Linked DNA regions of Neodiprion lecontei. The main gene of each other region encodes a partner of the protein of the gene in region 2 in a complex. Links are inferred from orthologs where the notes say so. Each region holds a gene or a part of one and is shown on either strand. Other genes may lie near its edges. The genes, in order: sonic hedgehog protein A and protein dispatched.

What was found.
Region 1: the proteins of protein dispatched (region 2) and sonic hedgehog protein A are in contact, whole or in part, in a cryo-EM structure (PDB 6TD6), measured with the Drosophila melanogaster proteins. The link is inferred for Neodiprion lecontei from reciprocal best matches to the Drosophila melanogaster genes disp and hh. Residues at the interface, in NP_524734.2 of Drosophila melanogaster: His77, His78, Arg250, Tyr253, Glu296, Ala404, Gln405, Ser406, Asn407, Arg408, Gly434, Asn755; in NP_001034065.1 of Drosophila melanogaster: Tyr100, Pro101, Val103, Leu104, Lys105, Gln106, Thr107, Asn110, Leu111, Ser117, Glu164, Lys165, Val168, Ala228, Gly229.

The regions. Positions count from the first base shown.
Region 1 is NC_060262.1:29,608,130-29,614,515, forward strand, and holds the start of sonic hedgehog protein A, read left to right. Parts: upstream 1-2,374; 5' UTR 2,375-3,349; coding exon 3,350-3,691; intron 3,692-6,386.
Region 2 is NC_060264.1:34,405,272-34,414,183, reverse strand, and holds protein dispatched, read left to right. Parts: upstream 1-1,969; 5' UTR 1,970-2,544; coding exon 2,545-2,682; intron 2,683-3,186; coding exon 3,187-3,324; intron 3,325-3,398; coding exon 3,399-4,091; intron 4,092-4,172; coding exon 4,173-4,560; intron 4,561-4,650; coding exon 4,651-5,240; intron 5,241-5,323; coding exon 5,324-5,887; intron 5,888-5,989; coding exon 5,990-6,290; intron 6,291-6,372; coding exon 6,373-6,673; intron 6,674-6,756; coding exon 6,757-7,114; 3' UTR 7,115-8,222; downstream 8,223-8,912. UniProt on the Drosophila melanogaster protein: Segment polarity protein which functions in hedgehog (Hh) signaling.

The DNA.
Region 1 (6,386 bases), on a different chromosome or scaffold from region 2:
TCTGCCCTTCTCTCCACCCACGGAATATGCACAGCTGTATACTAAAGCGCAGGGTCTGCGGTAGAGAACGCCTGTATGTAGAAGCCTGGTCTAAATCACTAGATCAAACAAGGCGAGGATCGTGTAAAAACCCGCCTTGACCGCCAACGTATTTCCGTAATTTTTTCCTCTCGCTCTTTCGATTTTTCAATATCAAACGCCTTTCGCAATAACATCTTCACCGCTTGGGTTTATGTAGAATACTTACTTAACACCAATCTGGCACTGGAAAAAGAACAGAGTACCCGTGTCAAAGATTCACCGAAATCTGAATAGCACTTAATATCAACTCGGTAGGTAGACGGATTTTTCCATCTGTAAAAATCTATCCAACGTCTGATAAATATACCGTTTTGCACGTTATAGAATATCATCTGCACAAGCTGTGCAAATTCCAAAACGAACTTGAAAGAGTTACGCTCCGAACTACGAGACGGATATATTCGCGGAAACTGTGGCCAACATTGCCGACAGTATTATACATTACACAACTGTCATCCGCAGATCGGTTAAGAATCGGTTGTGACCTAGAAAGGAAAGTCCTCTTTCACACAGTTCTGGGAAAGTCCATTTTTCCTGATCTCGAATCATGAGGTAACAGTGGCATCACTGCCCCTGACGACGACACACCAAACGGAGACCCTGACCATAACGTTTTGCTGATAAGATATTGCGACGCGAAGGATGTAGGAAGCATGAGAAGCCAACAGTCCATTCGGTGAAACATATGCCCGATGCCCAGGTAGATACGCACGTTGAACGCACCTCGGGTAGAGGCACGTGTGAGGATGGAGTGGACTTGCAATATACCAGTTATCGTAGAAGTGATAGAGCTGCAAGGAAATGCGGCATGTGGGTGTGTTGTGTACACACTGTGCCTGCACACCAAATACGCTACATGACTGGACACGGTTAGAGGGATAAATCGTGGGTAATGGAACGGTGTTTATTATCAGTAAGCCCAAGAAACTAGCAACGCTCACGGCGCGGTTAGCAAGGCTAGGAGCTATCAGAGGCATCAGTAGCTTTCCGGCTGCCATCGGTGGCGCACAGCACTTCTCTGCTTAAACGACCAGTTGAAAAGCCCGCCGATTTACAATACAAGGCGAATCACCCACCTGAAACGTTCGTTGTTCCTACGGTTAATTCCTCGTGTTCAGAGCATATATTTTAGGGTGTAATAGGTTATTAATTGTACCCAAAAATACACATCGTTGTGCGGCAGGTAATCGGATCAACTCTTGAATGGAACTGCAGACTTCATGCCTGTACCGTTCAAACTATGTACATGATTTGCTGATTCTTTTTTTGATTTCATCCTAAGGTCAGTCAATCGACGGTCCAATTTTTTTACAAGATCGGAATACTTCAGACGAGCACTTCTTGTTTACACAGAAGATAGCCAACTGCTTGCTATGCACAGAGTTATGATAAGCAGTAAAATATTGCGTAACTGCATCGTTTCTCGCTAATGGTATCATTTCGTCATTTCGGAGAGAGTGCAAAGCTTAGAAAGAATGCTTATGAAGTATTAGATACAGGTATGCCTGACGTAATATCGTTAACTGTGAAACAATTTACAGTAAAAACCAAATCCAACTAATCAGTGTTCAGAACAAGTCTATGTGCAGGATGAAGTCGACATGATAGAACATTCGAATTAATCGCTGCATCGAAAACGACTGACGTTGAACGAGAAATAAAACCGAAAACGAGAAGTTAAAAAGGAACGATCGAAAAGTGTCGGTGACAGAAGGATATGAGAGGTGGAGGTGAGGGTGTTAAGGTAAGGGCCAAAGGGTCCGGAACGACTTCACTCAGCTGTTCCCGAGAGATAACTCCGGCAACAAACGGTCGGTGGAGAAGACATCCTCGGCGAAGATAGCCAGTGCTTCCTTTCAGAGGTTGAAAGTATCCGACGCAGTTCGGTTTCTCGGGGGGTTGAGACTCAGACTTGGCGAGTCGTTGAGCGGGAAGGAGCCGCGTTCGGTTTGGACCGGGTTGAGGATTGTCAGGGAGAGAAGCGGAGAGGAGAGAGAGAGAGAGAGAAAGAGGGAGCGATACGCCGATAACCCGGACGACACACGGGACTCTGGAGGCGGACGGACCGAGGAGAGCGATCTCTGTATGAGCGGAGGGACCGTGCGGCCGGCGCGAACCAGGAGAGGAGAGAGGACCGTTCCTCGGTGTGTATTCCTGTTGTACACCTGTCCTCGTTTACCTGGCTCGCCCCGCCCCGGCCAATCGTGGAGCAAACCGCGGGCGTGACGTCACACCTGGCGATCGCTCAGGGCGGGTGGAAGGGGGAAGTCCACCAGGAGTCAGCGACGTCGCCGGTCTCCGGCGGGCGGCAGGGTGGGGGAGGAGGCGAGAACCCGGTTTGGTCCGTCCGTGGCACCCAGGGAACACCAAACGCACCACGGGACATTTCCCACCACGGTTCGTCGGGAAAGCGGCAGTCAATCCAGGACCCCAGATCCACGTTGTCACAGTTTTGACAGTTGTCGGGCTGTTCGATACGCACCACGATTACAAATTCACGACGTGCGCCAACCGCCAACTTGCGAACACCCGTTGAATCCATAACGTCAGTTACACGTTAACGAAATTGCACGATGTTCGTCCACCCGGTTAAAGCTCGGAAATAATTATTATTCGCGAATTTTCCTTGTCCTTACATACCGCTTGTAATAACCGATCCGAGCCGATATAACGTACCGATTCACGGCGCGAATCTGGCACTTACGGCCTGGATCGATAATTACTGTATACATACCGAGACACATCGACTTAAGGGAAAACTCAGAGTAAAGAATTAAGAAGACCGCAGTTAATTGTCGGTAAAAGTGCCGTGTGATTGATCGATCTCGGGCCTTGTAGTATCCGCCTCGATTTCCGTATCTTGCGCGCGAATTTCAGCGGAGCAACCCGCGAACTGGATAAATGGCAGGCGATCGGTTCGTGACGACGTAGTCGGTACCGAACGCGGTGCAGAGAAGCAGACGTGATTTATCGTTACAGTGACAGGTGTGACCACAGTGTTATTCTGGTAAACGGTGTGCCCTCCCGCTTCCGGATCCACCGTCGTTCGCCACCCCTTGGTGCCAATCGGCGAACGCGGTGACAGTTCGCGGTGACCCGGTTGCCGGTTGCTCAATTCGCGACGTCCACGAGGCGCAGGGTGTGATGCCCTGGTTATGGCTACTACGCAGTGAGGCGAGACGAAAGAGGCGGACTGGGTCGGGATCGCACCGAAGCTGGGTCACACCAACGACGGACTGACCCTATCGCACTGGGTCGGGAAGATATTATGGTGAACGCTAAGATCGCGAGGACAAGATTCGAGCTGCGGTGGATATTGGTGTGCTTGGTACTGCTATCGTTCTGGCTTCCTTCCTTGGGCACCGGCCTCGCCGAGGGCTGCGGCCCCGGAAGGGGTAGCAACCGACGGATACGTCCCCGGAAGTTGACGCCGCTTGTATTTAAACAACATGTGCCAAACGTCAGTGAGAACACTTTGCCCGCCAGTGGACTTAGCGAGGGTCGCGTGTCCAGACACGACACCAGATTTCGCGACCTGGTGCCCAACTACAACCAGGACATAATCTTCAAGGACGAGGAAGGCACTGGTGCCGATCGCCTCATGACTCAGGTGAATATTCAAACCGATTTACCCATATCCGTGTCGAATTGTAAACGGTGCGATATACGGTTGGACCTGCAGCTGTAACGTGTAATCGTCGTTGCAACCACGGCATCCGGGCACACGTGGTCGGTCTCGGCGACGTCAAATCCGTCGCGTCAACCGGTAGATAGATAATTCCTGGCCGCTGTTTGGTGTACTCGCGTCATTGCAAAGATATAATTTCATATTAATGTATATGTGTCTAAGCATCGGTAGTTACGAGGAACAGCGTTCTGTAGAGCATATTATAACGTCGTATGTTTTCTTTCTTCCGCAAAAGGCATCATGGTTATCGTCGTAGTGCGGGTGAACGTTGACCGGCGCCGGGCGCGTATCTTCGATGCAACGATACTAGGCAAATATTAACCATTCTTGCACGTAATACATAGCACTTAAAAATTCACACTTGACTCGAGGTAAACCCCCTTACTTGTAGTTGTAAATGGTTTAAAATTCACTCGAACACTAATTGCGCTTGTACACACGACAGAAAGGATTCGCTGAAACAGCAGGAAAGGTGTTAATATCATGGCGATAAAAGTTTTTTCCTCTATTAGCAAGAATTATGTAGTTCCAGTTAAAAGTTGTTTGATCAGTTGGAGGAATTACCTGCACTTGTAAAACATTCGCTAATACAGCTAAAAGTAATTTGCTATCCGTACAGCGAGAAGTCTTAGTTTCCGTGCTAAAGGTTATACTTGGAAATTTATTGCTTTTAAATATTTATCCCGGTACAAATAATGATCAAGCGCTTAGGCTGTAAAACTTTCGAAACGGTGAGGCTGTACTTACCAAGAAATTGCGTAGTTTGTAATTTCTTGGTCTATCCGTCACTGTCGTATATTGATAAAAATATTACGGAATATGACATATTTTCGCAACGTTAATAGAATCCGCAAACACGGAAGACTGCAACCTGCGTCGCGAGATGTCTGACACATCGCTGAGATATCACTGTGTATACATAATGCTCACGATAGGTGACGTATGAATTTTTTTTCACCGGCGCAGACGGATGCTTAGATTTCATATGTGCTAATAAGAAGCGACGCTGCACAGTCCTAGGGCAATGTGGATTGAGTTAACCTAGTCGAAGTTGTCTAGCTGGGTCGACGTAAGCCTGAGGCCCAACTTAAATTTTTATACGAGTTAAGAGAACGGCGAAGATCGCACGCTAAGCGAGGAATAAATGGGGGAAAAACTATACCGAGTCCCTAAGTGATTGTGGAAAGGTTTATGGTAGCCATAACCAGTGTTTCATTTGACGCCTTGACGCTTCTCCAATTATACGGTAGATAAATTCACCAACCTCGTACTTTTCTCGATTTCGATCGTGTCACGAAGACCCTATCCTAGTCCAAATAGCGTCGCGAGACCGCCGCGTTTTGTATCTCGTAATTGACTTCAAGCCTCTTCCCTCGACCCTTTGAGGATCGGCACTCAGTTCCAATGAATCGAACATTCCAGCTTGGTCTCGATGAACAATCCTCACTTCTCACCGCATCGAAGCAACCTTCTCGCTTGCCCTTCGGGCTTCAATCAATGTATGGATTGATATGGATCTGATGTTGTAGCAAGGATTGAACCCCACGACGAGCATTGATGCTAGAAAGTGTCGTTAAGTGGTTGTCACTTGCTTGTGAGAAGTGACATCGCTTAAGATCGCAGTGTCTTTTTAGTCGGAACTTGAGTCCAACAATAAGCTTCCGATTTCGATGCGAGTGCGTCATTATCGTGCAAAATTGCAGTTAGGTGAACCGGATGACGCAACCTCTCGAAAATTCTTTGTCACGGTGCGCAAGTTATGGTTCTTTAATAGCGAGTCGACCATTTCACCCTGACCGTCCTCGAGTCTCTCCGCTTCGTATGCTGAGATGATATCGAATGTGTCATCGTTGCTTGGACGGTGTTGGGTGTCGCTTATCGCTTGACTCTTGTTGCCACATGGTTTGATACAATTACTAGACGCCACTTGTACTGGAGACACTCGGTTACGACTATGTCAGACTTTGCCACCGCACTTTACCCGTCAACTCGACGTTTCGCCAACGACATCTACGCAACCTTCGCACCCGTGAGATGAGATTTAAACGCATTCAGCACAGTTTCAAATCAAGGACCTACGAAGTCTTATCGATTCCCCCAATTTTTTCAATCGATTTACTTTCAACGCTCAAATTTTGGCCGAATGACTTTTTGCCCAAAGTGACGTTTCGTTCAAGTGCATTTGTTAGGTATACCTATGGAATTCGAAAAGACATGTTGCGGATTTGCCAAGAAAATAATCACAATATCGATCAATATAAAAAATATTTATATAAAAAGTACGCTGTATTATTCGAATGTACACTCTTGGCGCACAGTGCACAATGTACTCGATGTTACGTTTCAATTTGTGTTTATTACGATGCAGGTATTCTAAATACACGCATACCTATACATATTCAGGCTCGCGCACGTTACACAGTATCGTAAATAAATTTTACACCCATCTGCTAGAGTTTATCGATGGTTGTATTAAACTGCGGTATGAAACGTGTCTAATGTTTCACTTATAGCATCGAGAGGTTCGGTCAATGTAATCAATTACATGCAATAACACGTGCGAAAATTTCAATTTTCCATTGTCATTCTTCCGCTAATGCAATTTTCAAGATCTTTG
Region 2 (8,912 bases):
CAATTGATTGCAATGTTCAAAAGCTGTGCTCTATTTGCCTGGTCATATCTAGCGATGTATTTGCCATAAGTAAATATCGAAAATAATAACCTGCGTGGATTTGCAGGAAAAGATAAACAACCGTTAGGATGTTCCAAGTCAAACAATTTAGACGCAAATTACAAATGGATTAACGTTATCGCGATGCTGACGTCAGGGAAAAAATATTCACTTTTCTCGTTTGAAACTAGAGCTTCGAGGATAACGTTTCCATCGAAGTATGACCAAGTGTCAGTTAGTAGTCAAGTATGCACATATATTACCTTTGTGTTCCAAGCTGTCGCTATATCAACGGTTAGCCTCCTCTATATAGAGAGTGTTTTGTTTTGCTCCGGTTTTTCCCCCACACTTTATAGGTCTTTGCGAGGTTTCGAAAGCAAATTGGTTCTTATCATCGCCCCGCGCTGCGCGCACACGATCTTCCTTCTTTCTTTATTATTTTTTTCCATATATTTAACGCGTTACACACCCCCTGCTAGTCCAACTATTATAGTCAAAGGACAGGCGATCGGTGGTTGGTGGTAATACCCGCCAACTAAAAAATGGCGTCGGATCATAAGCGCTGAGCAGGATTGTGGTTTGACATACTGCAGTTGACACTGATTCAACTATCGCTATTTATCCCTAATTGTCAACCCAGTTCACAAATATTCAATTTTCAAAATATTTATGAAAATCTATAAGGAACACACAATCAATTAATCTCCACTTCAGTGTTGTTATTTCCATTTACTATTAACAATCTCAAGATGGGTGGACAGTAGCATTTCTCCAATTATGACGCACAGCCGCAAACTATAGAGTACACAGATCATTGTTCTAATATTTTTTTTCTAACGCTACTAGCGTCACCAATCGGCTCGCAGCTATGGCTTTCCCGTTGGGACTTCCCCGTTAAATTCCCTTCTCCATCACCACTATCCCCATGGCCATTGTTTATTACCCGCCATTACTCGCGTTTTCGCAGTCTAGCCAACGTATTGAAATTACACGAATATTTTAGTCATATGGAATCATGAAACGCAAATAACAAAGCGAAAAAATGTTATTTTTTTCGATGCCAAATAATGATGCTAGAGCTATCTAATATGTCGTATACGATTGTGGGTATGACACACCAATTCTAAAAAGTATAATCTCTCCGATTTATAAGTACTGCTGCCCACAGGATGACCGTTCAAATTAAGTTGTAATCACGAGGATTACAAATAGTTTTCGTTTACAGTATCAAGTTGCAGCCATTGAAGTTGATTTCAAGTTGAAACGGCATCGCGCTTGTTTTTATATGATCATTTAGGCCGCTGATATTTTTAGTTTTAAATTTATTTCTGATCTTTTATTGTCACGCTCGTAACGTTATAGCCCAGCAGCGCCTAAGCCGAAAAAACAAACTGCACAATTTTTTTGGGTTGAACTACAAAATGTAACCAATGTATTTGCGTCTATTTTTTCCGATAGTACCGTAAAAATAAACAAAATATTCGGTTTCCTGTAAAATGTAATTTTCTCAATAAAGATCGGACTTGTAGTTATATAGCCTTTACGACAAACCCTGTACCTTACTTTCCAATGTATTTAGTCTTTATAAAACTAATATGGAAGTGCAACCAAAAACTTCGAGTTTTAACGATCACTGCTGCAAAGCTATATTCAAACAGCGGATAATGAAGTATCAGAATTCCGAATTTTATTTTCGTTTACGTGTAAATACAAAAACGCGCAAACGAAAGTTGAAGGTATTTGTTATAATCGAGTTGCGCAAAAATGATTAAATTTGTCTACCGTTACCTCAAGTGCTTTATTACTGTTATGAAGTGGATTTTTGCAATTTCGTAGCCTGGTTTACTGCGCATTGTAGGACATCAGTGCGCGTGTCGATTTTTCCCAATTCTCCCAGCGTCTCAAAAGCCGGGACAACAGAGAGAAAAACGCGCATGCGTCCGTTAATCCCGACAGTAGCTTAATAGTAGAAATGACGCTTTAACCTCGAATTTATTGGTCTCTTTCAGTATAAACAAAACACTCATTCCACGCCTATATACAGTGTATAATCCAAATTTCAAATACAAATGTAAACTCGGGGGTCTTGACGGTCAAAAAATTAACCGCATCGGCAATGATAATAAAAATTACCAAATCTCTGCCTCTCTGGAAAGGTCGTCGCGATTATTGGAAATTCTCAGTGTACATCGCGAACGGTGTTTTAACTAATGTCCTGAACCCAGATATTAATTGTAATTAAGATTGCGTTGGCTTTGTTTTCTGCTAGAGCGCAACAATTGTTATATTTAAAATTAAGAAATCAAATTTTAACCGTATATTACAGACTGATGCCAAATTTCAATTGTCTTAATCTCAACGGCGTGCTATCGGTATTGTACCTACATATACACGATATTTGCTCAATTTTCCATTAGCCCTTTATTATATAGTGCGTAGAAAACTAAATAACAATAATATTAAACTTGAGGCGTAACTCAAAAGGAAATATTCTTACGTACAATCATGGAAATATGGTGGTTTTCCCGTGTCGTGGCTTATCATCCCTACGCTATTCTTGCCGCTGTTTTCGTCTTCTCTTCAACTTGTTTGATAGTCCCGTTAACTACTAAAAAATTCCCGGACTTTTCCGACCCGCAATTAGTAAGTATAACAAGTTCTTTTCCGGATAAATAATCAATCTCATCGCGTACGATTATTTATATAATCATTGATTATTTATATGTGTGGCCAAGCTTTCATATGCAACAGGGGAATCCCATGATTACAATTTCAATGCACTTTTTCTTGAACCATGAATAATGTATTTACTAGATTGCTTATATTATAGATTGATGAATGTATTCAAGATTTCATAATTTACTTTAAACCTTTTTCATTTTATAGAATGTAACTAGCCGGATTTCGTGCTTCATCGTTAGTTTTATGCTCATTCGCAATGGTCACGAATTCGAATTTCCAATTTTCATTTTTTTTTTGGTTGAATTGATAGTTTAATAAATAGACGGCATTTTTTTAAACATCAATCGCGCGGGAAATTACCTGGTCAGCAGTGCAATTTTCGTCAAGTATAAGTCATAGAAATTATGGTATATTTCAATAAATTCAGTAAATACTAGTTTATTAACATAATAATAAACTTCACAGGGTTTCGAAGCTCGAGGAACAGTCTTGGCATCGAGATTAACAACATGGCAAAATTTGATAGAAGCAATTAGGCCTCGAGGAAGTCTCATTGCAAACCCTCTGGAATATTATCATCATATTTTGCAATCAATGAGCCTAGTAAGTTATTACTATCTTATCATTGTTATTATTGATGCACGTGAAGAAGTAACAAAGTATTATTTTGTTAATAGAATGAAACTAGTTTGATGACTCACAACACAACTACCCAGATAACTGTGGATAAGAAGAATCGTAAAAAGGGTAAAAGAAAGGGTAAAAAATATGGGAAGAATAAAAAAAATACAGATACGGAGGAGCAAGGTGTGAAAAAAGACAAATGGACAGAGCTGATGGAGTTGAAAGAAAATCAGAGTTTCCGTTTGGAGAATCCAGAGACTATAAGGAATCACGCCCACTTTGATAGCGACGGTTTCTTTTGTAATTCCCCGACCGCAGCCTATGCTCGTATTGTCCTCAGATCTGTTTCTGGTACCGAGAACTTATGGTCTCTGGAAGGAATACTGGCTCAGTGTCACATTGACGCTGCGCTTCGCGCCAACAACGAATTTCCAGCCTTGTGTCAAATTCAACTCCAAAACCAGCACGGTGATACAGAAAAAAAATGCTGCCGAAGCTGGTCACCAGCAAACTACGTGGCTTTACTGTCGAACAGAACCTCTTGTCTGGGTGTTACAGAAAGTGATTTGAACAGAGTAAAACTCTTGCTGAATAGGTGTGCTCATTTTTATCACAACCTTCAGCTTACTCCAGACTGCGCTGACGACCCCGATTGCCGAAGGCATGTGACCCCCGATTGCTATTTGCACAATGCTCCGTATCATCTACTCTATTATCTTCTTGATACCGAGTTTATACCCTCTTACGTAAGTGTCTCGTCGTATACTTTTCCTTGAAAGTGCACTACTATTGGCATCTTTCACTGCGTCTTTCACTTTCATTTTCAGAATGGAACCACGTCACCTAAACTGAACACAACTCTAAATTCCGCCATGCTTTTCTTACCAATGGCTGCCAGTTCTGCCACTCTTGACTTTTATCGCGGACTAAACGAGGATGAATTAACTTACGGCAAATTCAAAGTACAGGGAATGCAGCTGGGGCTGAAGAGCACGCTCTTTGATCGCCTTTTGGTTTCAGATTCTTGTCTGCTTCTCGCAGGCTTCGCATTCGTCACAGTTTGCATATGGGCGTATACCAGCTCAATTATACTAACGGTAACAACCATACTTGCCGTTCTCTTCAGTCTGGGCATATCGTACGCCTTTTATACTCTCGTTCTCCGAATAAATTTCTTCCCATTCATGAATTTGCTGGCTATTGTTGTCGCTGTTGGTAAGAATTCTATCTCAAACGTCAAGCAATATTGTAACCTAAATGGGATTCTTCAGCCATTCAGATTGTAAATACACACAATGTTTTCAGGAATTGGGGCCGACGATGCCTTTATTTATTGCAAAGTATGGGAATGCGGGAAGCAGAAGAAATTGACTGGCGGCGGACTGGTCAGTCTGGTCCAAGAAACGATGAAGCATGCCGTTCCATCTATGCTGGTCACCTCACTGACTACAGCAGTTGCTTTCTTTGCATCTATAGTCAGCAACGTTACGGCCATAAATTGCTTCAGTTTATTTTCTGGAATGACCGTGATAGCCAATTTCCTTTTGATGGTGACCTGGTTACCGGCAAGCGTTGTTGTCTCCGAACACTGTCACCTCACCTTATTATCGCCAGCCAATTTCATTGTGAGGAAAATCTACCGCCCCCTCAGGCTTTTCCTTGGCAAAGTAGCCACTGATTTTGGCAAAGTACTTTCCAGAATCGCTATCGAGTTCAGATGGTTGTGGCTAGTGATTTGCGGATCCACAGCTGTTGCTGCCAGTCTAGTTGTCTTCCGATATCCAGGCCTACAGCTGCCAGATTCCCCTGATTTCCAACTGTTCGATAGTTCTCACCTCTTCGAAAAGTATGACTTGGTTTTCTCGCAACGCTTCTGGTTTGAAAAGCTAGAACTGGTAAGCAAATATCATGACATGATTTCAGTTTGTTTGAAAATTAACAACAAGTTTTATCTAACTATCAGTATTGCAATCCTCAGGGAGACGGCGGCGAAGTTTTGCCATTGAGATTTGTGTGGGGAGTGAAACCCGTGGATAATGGGAACTACTTGGATCCAGGAGCAAGAGGAACATTGGAATGGGATGAGACCTTTGACGTGTCGAGTAGGAAGTCGCAGCTCTGGCTGCTGCAATTCTGTCGTAGTCTCAGAATGCAGCCGTTTTATCGAAGTACTTTGGGTCCCTTACTCCCAAACTGCTTTATCGAATCGCTAAAGGCTTTCATGCAGCGGCGTTGTGTGGATCCCATAGATCTGCAAATAGATCGAGCCCCGTGCTGCGAGAACAGTACTTTTCCCTACTCGCCATCTGTCTTGGAACATTGCGCAGCTGAAGCAAACGCTGATTTATATCGCACACCCTCTTACCTTTGGGGAGGAGAATCTTCCACTTCGGCAGGACTGAAGTTCCTCAAAGAAGACGTACACCTCACTTTGAATAACACCCAACGGCCTCAACCCAAAATCAAGGCCCTGATCATAGAATACGACAGCAATTTCACGTACAGTCTCTCATTCACAGAAATGGATCAGTTTTACCGTCAGGTAAAGCTTAATCAAACTAGAAGTAAAAAGAAGAGAAAAATACTGAAACATGCGACGACAAGTATTGTCCGCTCATATTCTGGTATCATTATTTATTCACAGGTTGAAAGCTGGATGAAGGAGCAACTGCTGAAGGCACCATCCGGAATGCGAGGTGGTTGGTTCATCAGTAGACTAGAATTTTACGAACTTCAACGAACTCTTTACGAGGGTACGCTATGGGCTATGGGAGTATCGATGATCTTAGCATTGGTGGTGCTAGCGCTAGTCACGCTCAATATTCTGGTCAGTTTGTACGCGATTGTTGCAATTGGAGCGGCGATAGTTGTCACAGTCGCATATCTTATTCTGGCTGGGTGGAGGTTGAACGTTCTCGAAAGTGTTGCGGTGTCCACAGCAATTGGTGAACAAAACTTTAATCATCTCATTACGTTTTTGGAGCCAGTTTCCTTTTCCCCATTTTACCCTGAATTCTTTCCACGCAGGTCTCGCGGTTGACTTCAGTCTGCACTATAGCGTCAGCTACAGAGCTTCCACCTCCGAGGATAGAGTTGATCGGGTCAAAACAGCACTCGAGCAAATGGGAGGACCAACGCTCATGGCAGCTGTGACTAGTGGAGCTGCTGGCGCACTTATGCTTCCGTCGCAAGTCTTGGCTTACATACAAATCGGATTTTTTCTCGTCGTCGTAATGACTGTGAGCTGGATTTACGCTACCCTATTTCTCTGCCCAATTCTGGCTGTAATTGGACCGTCGCAAGGCTTTGCCCAGTACCAGTATCCGAGGTACGTGAATCTCGTCGGTGAAATCTGAAAAGGTGCGAGGTACTATCGAATTTCATCTTCTGGAGATAAAAATGTTTTTCCAGATTTTCGGCATCCTGGTTCCGTTCAAGGTTTCGTAAGGAGACAGAAGAGACTACGACTGGCGTCATGGGGAACCGTAAAGCCAAGGAACAGACCAGGAAACAAAACAGGGAGCGAGAGCGTGAACGGGAAAGGGAGCGCAAAAAAGGCCGAGGGATGCTGTCGGAATCTACACTTAGCACGTCGAGCACCGTTTGCCAGTTTCATTGTGGCGAGCTGGAAGTCCTTGCTGGGAGAGGACCGCCATCTTCATCGTTGCCACCTTCTCCATCCTCGACTCTGTTGTATCTCGAGCCTTCGCAATCGGGTCCCTCGACAGGTAGAAATAACAAGCGAAAACCGAACAACGAACTCGACTAAGAGGTGTATATGTGTCTTTCTGAATTCTGCAATCTTCTGCTGTTCAAATGGTAAGTAAATAAGAGTCTACCTAAAGTATTAAAGCTTACTGATGATTCAATGTCGTGAACGAATTGATGGACAGCTGATAAAAAAATTGGTGATTGTATCGTGTAATGCTAATTGTGTATACGTATGTGATGGTAAAGATGTTGCGGATAAAACATCGATGTACCTAACGGATAAATATAATTAATGTATCGAGTCTTTGTTGGCCGTGATCTCAAGGCTGAGGATATTAATATAAACAAGATTGTTGTTACACTGACTGTAGATTCAGGTGGGATTTTATTAATAGGTTGAAAGTTGAATCATTGTGAAAAATACAAACTCAAGTTGTAGACAACTTAAATCCAACTGAAAACTACTGGATTCTAGAGAAAACATCTGAATGACTTAAATTATAATAAGAATTACATATTCTTGGCCTGAAACAAATTTTTATGAAGTGAGATGTAGGTGCAGCTTAACGTTAAATTTTCCAAGTGTGTATATATGTGTATATATATGTGTATATATGTGTATATTATGTATATACATGCATATGCACAGAGATATGATATAACTTGAGTTATTACTACATGTTGTTATATGATCGTATGTATATATGTATACTATATTGATATTATTTTACTGCGACGTTACGTATACTTCGTAGATTATGGTGACGAGTCATTGCGAAAATCGCCAATACTTTTAAAACGACACTGTGAAGTAGTCCACTTATGTTCCTAATTTAAACGGTGTAACAAGCCATATGATATTGAAACGGGTATTCATACCTTAATAATACAATGTATTTTCAAAGGACTGGTGAATGTATTCTATATCAGTATTCAAGTAACACAATTTGCATGTGATGATGATAACGATTGCCTTTGATACAGTGACGTCTTACAGATCCTAGTTTAATTTTACCTCTTTTTAGATATTTCAAGAGAGCGTTATGCCTTCTCTGAATAAACTTATACCTCGTGAGAAATTTCATTTGTGATATAGCAGTGCTTTGAGAAGCCCTACAAACGTGTATCAAGTAAATATCATAACGATAAAGCTGTGTTAATTTAAACTATTGTATGCATCTCATACATATCAAACTTTTTAGTTTAGACATGATCCATTGGCACCTCATTTTCTACGCCGGTGATCGTTTTGTTTCTTAATTTTTACTCGAATGGTCCGCAAAGTATTATTAGTAGTAATATCATCGTGCAGAATATTTGGCAGTTATATTTCATTGCTTGGATATTATAGGTATTGTCTCTCTGAGAAGCTCAAAAACCATCGAGTTTAATTTATTTCATAATTATTTTTATACAGCTAGTATATACTATTCACTTATACATACATACTTTTATTGCTAGATAAGTATATGCTTATCAGTTTTGTAGATTTAAGTAGTAACAAAAATCGGCAATCCAGGCATAGATCAGTGGAGGAATTATTTACTGTGAAACTGTTTGATTATATATTTACTACCTAGATCTCGATGGCCCAGTAGGAACACAAAAAAGCAAAATCAACACGGAAAATTAACAGTATTACCACTTTTTTTTTTCGCTTTCTACACGTCGGGTAAACTACCTTAGTGTTTGTCATTCCGTTCGTAAAACCGTATACTCGTAATTAAATACCGGTCAATATATTGAAGAATCTTATTGAAGACAGGTTGAACGACAATAAAACTGGTTACCCTCAAATGTTTTATTTCGTTGTGCATAATTATTAAAAAATGACGACAATTTACCAAGTTATCGCT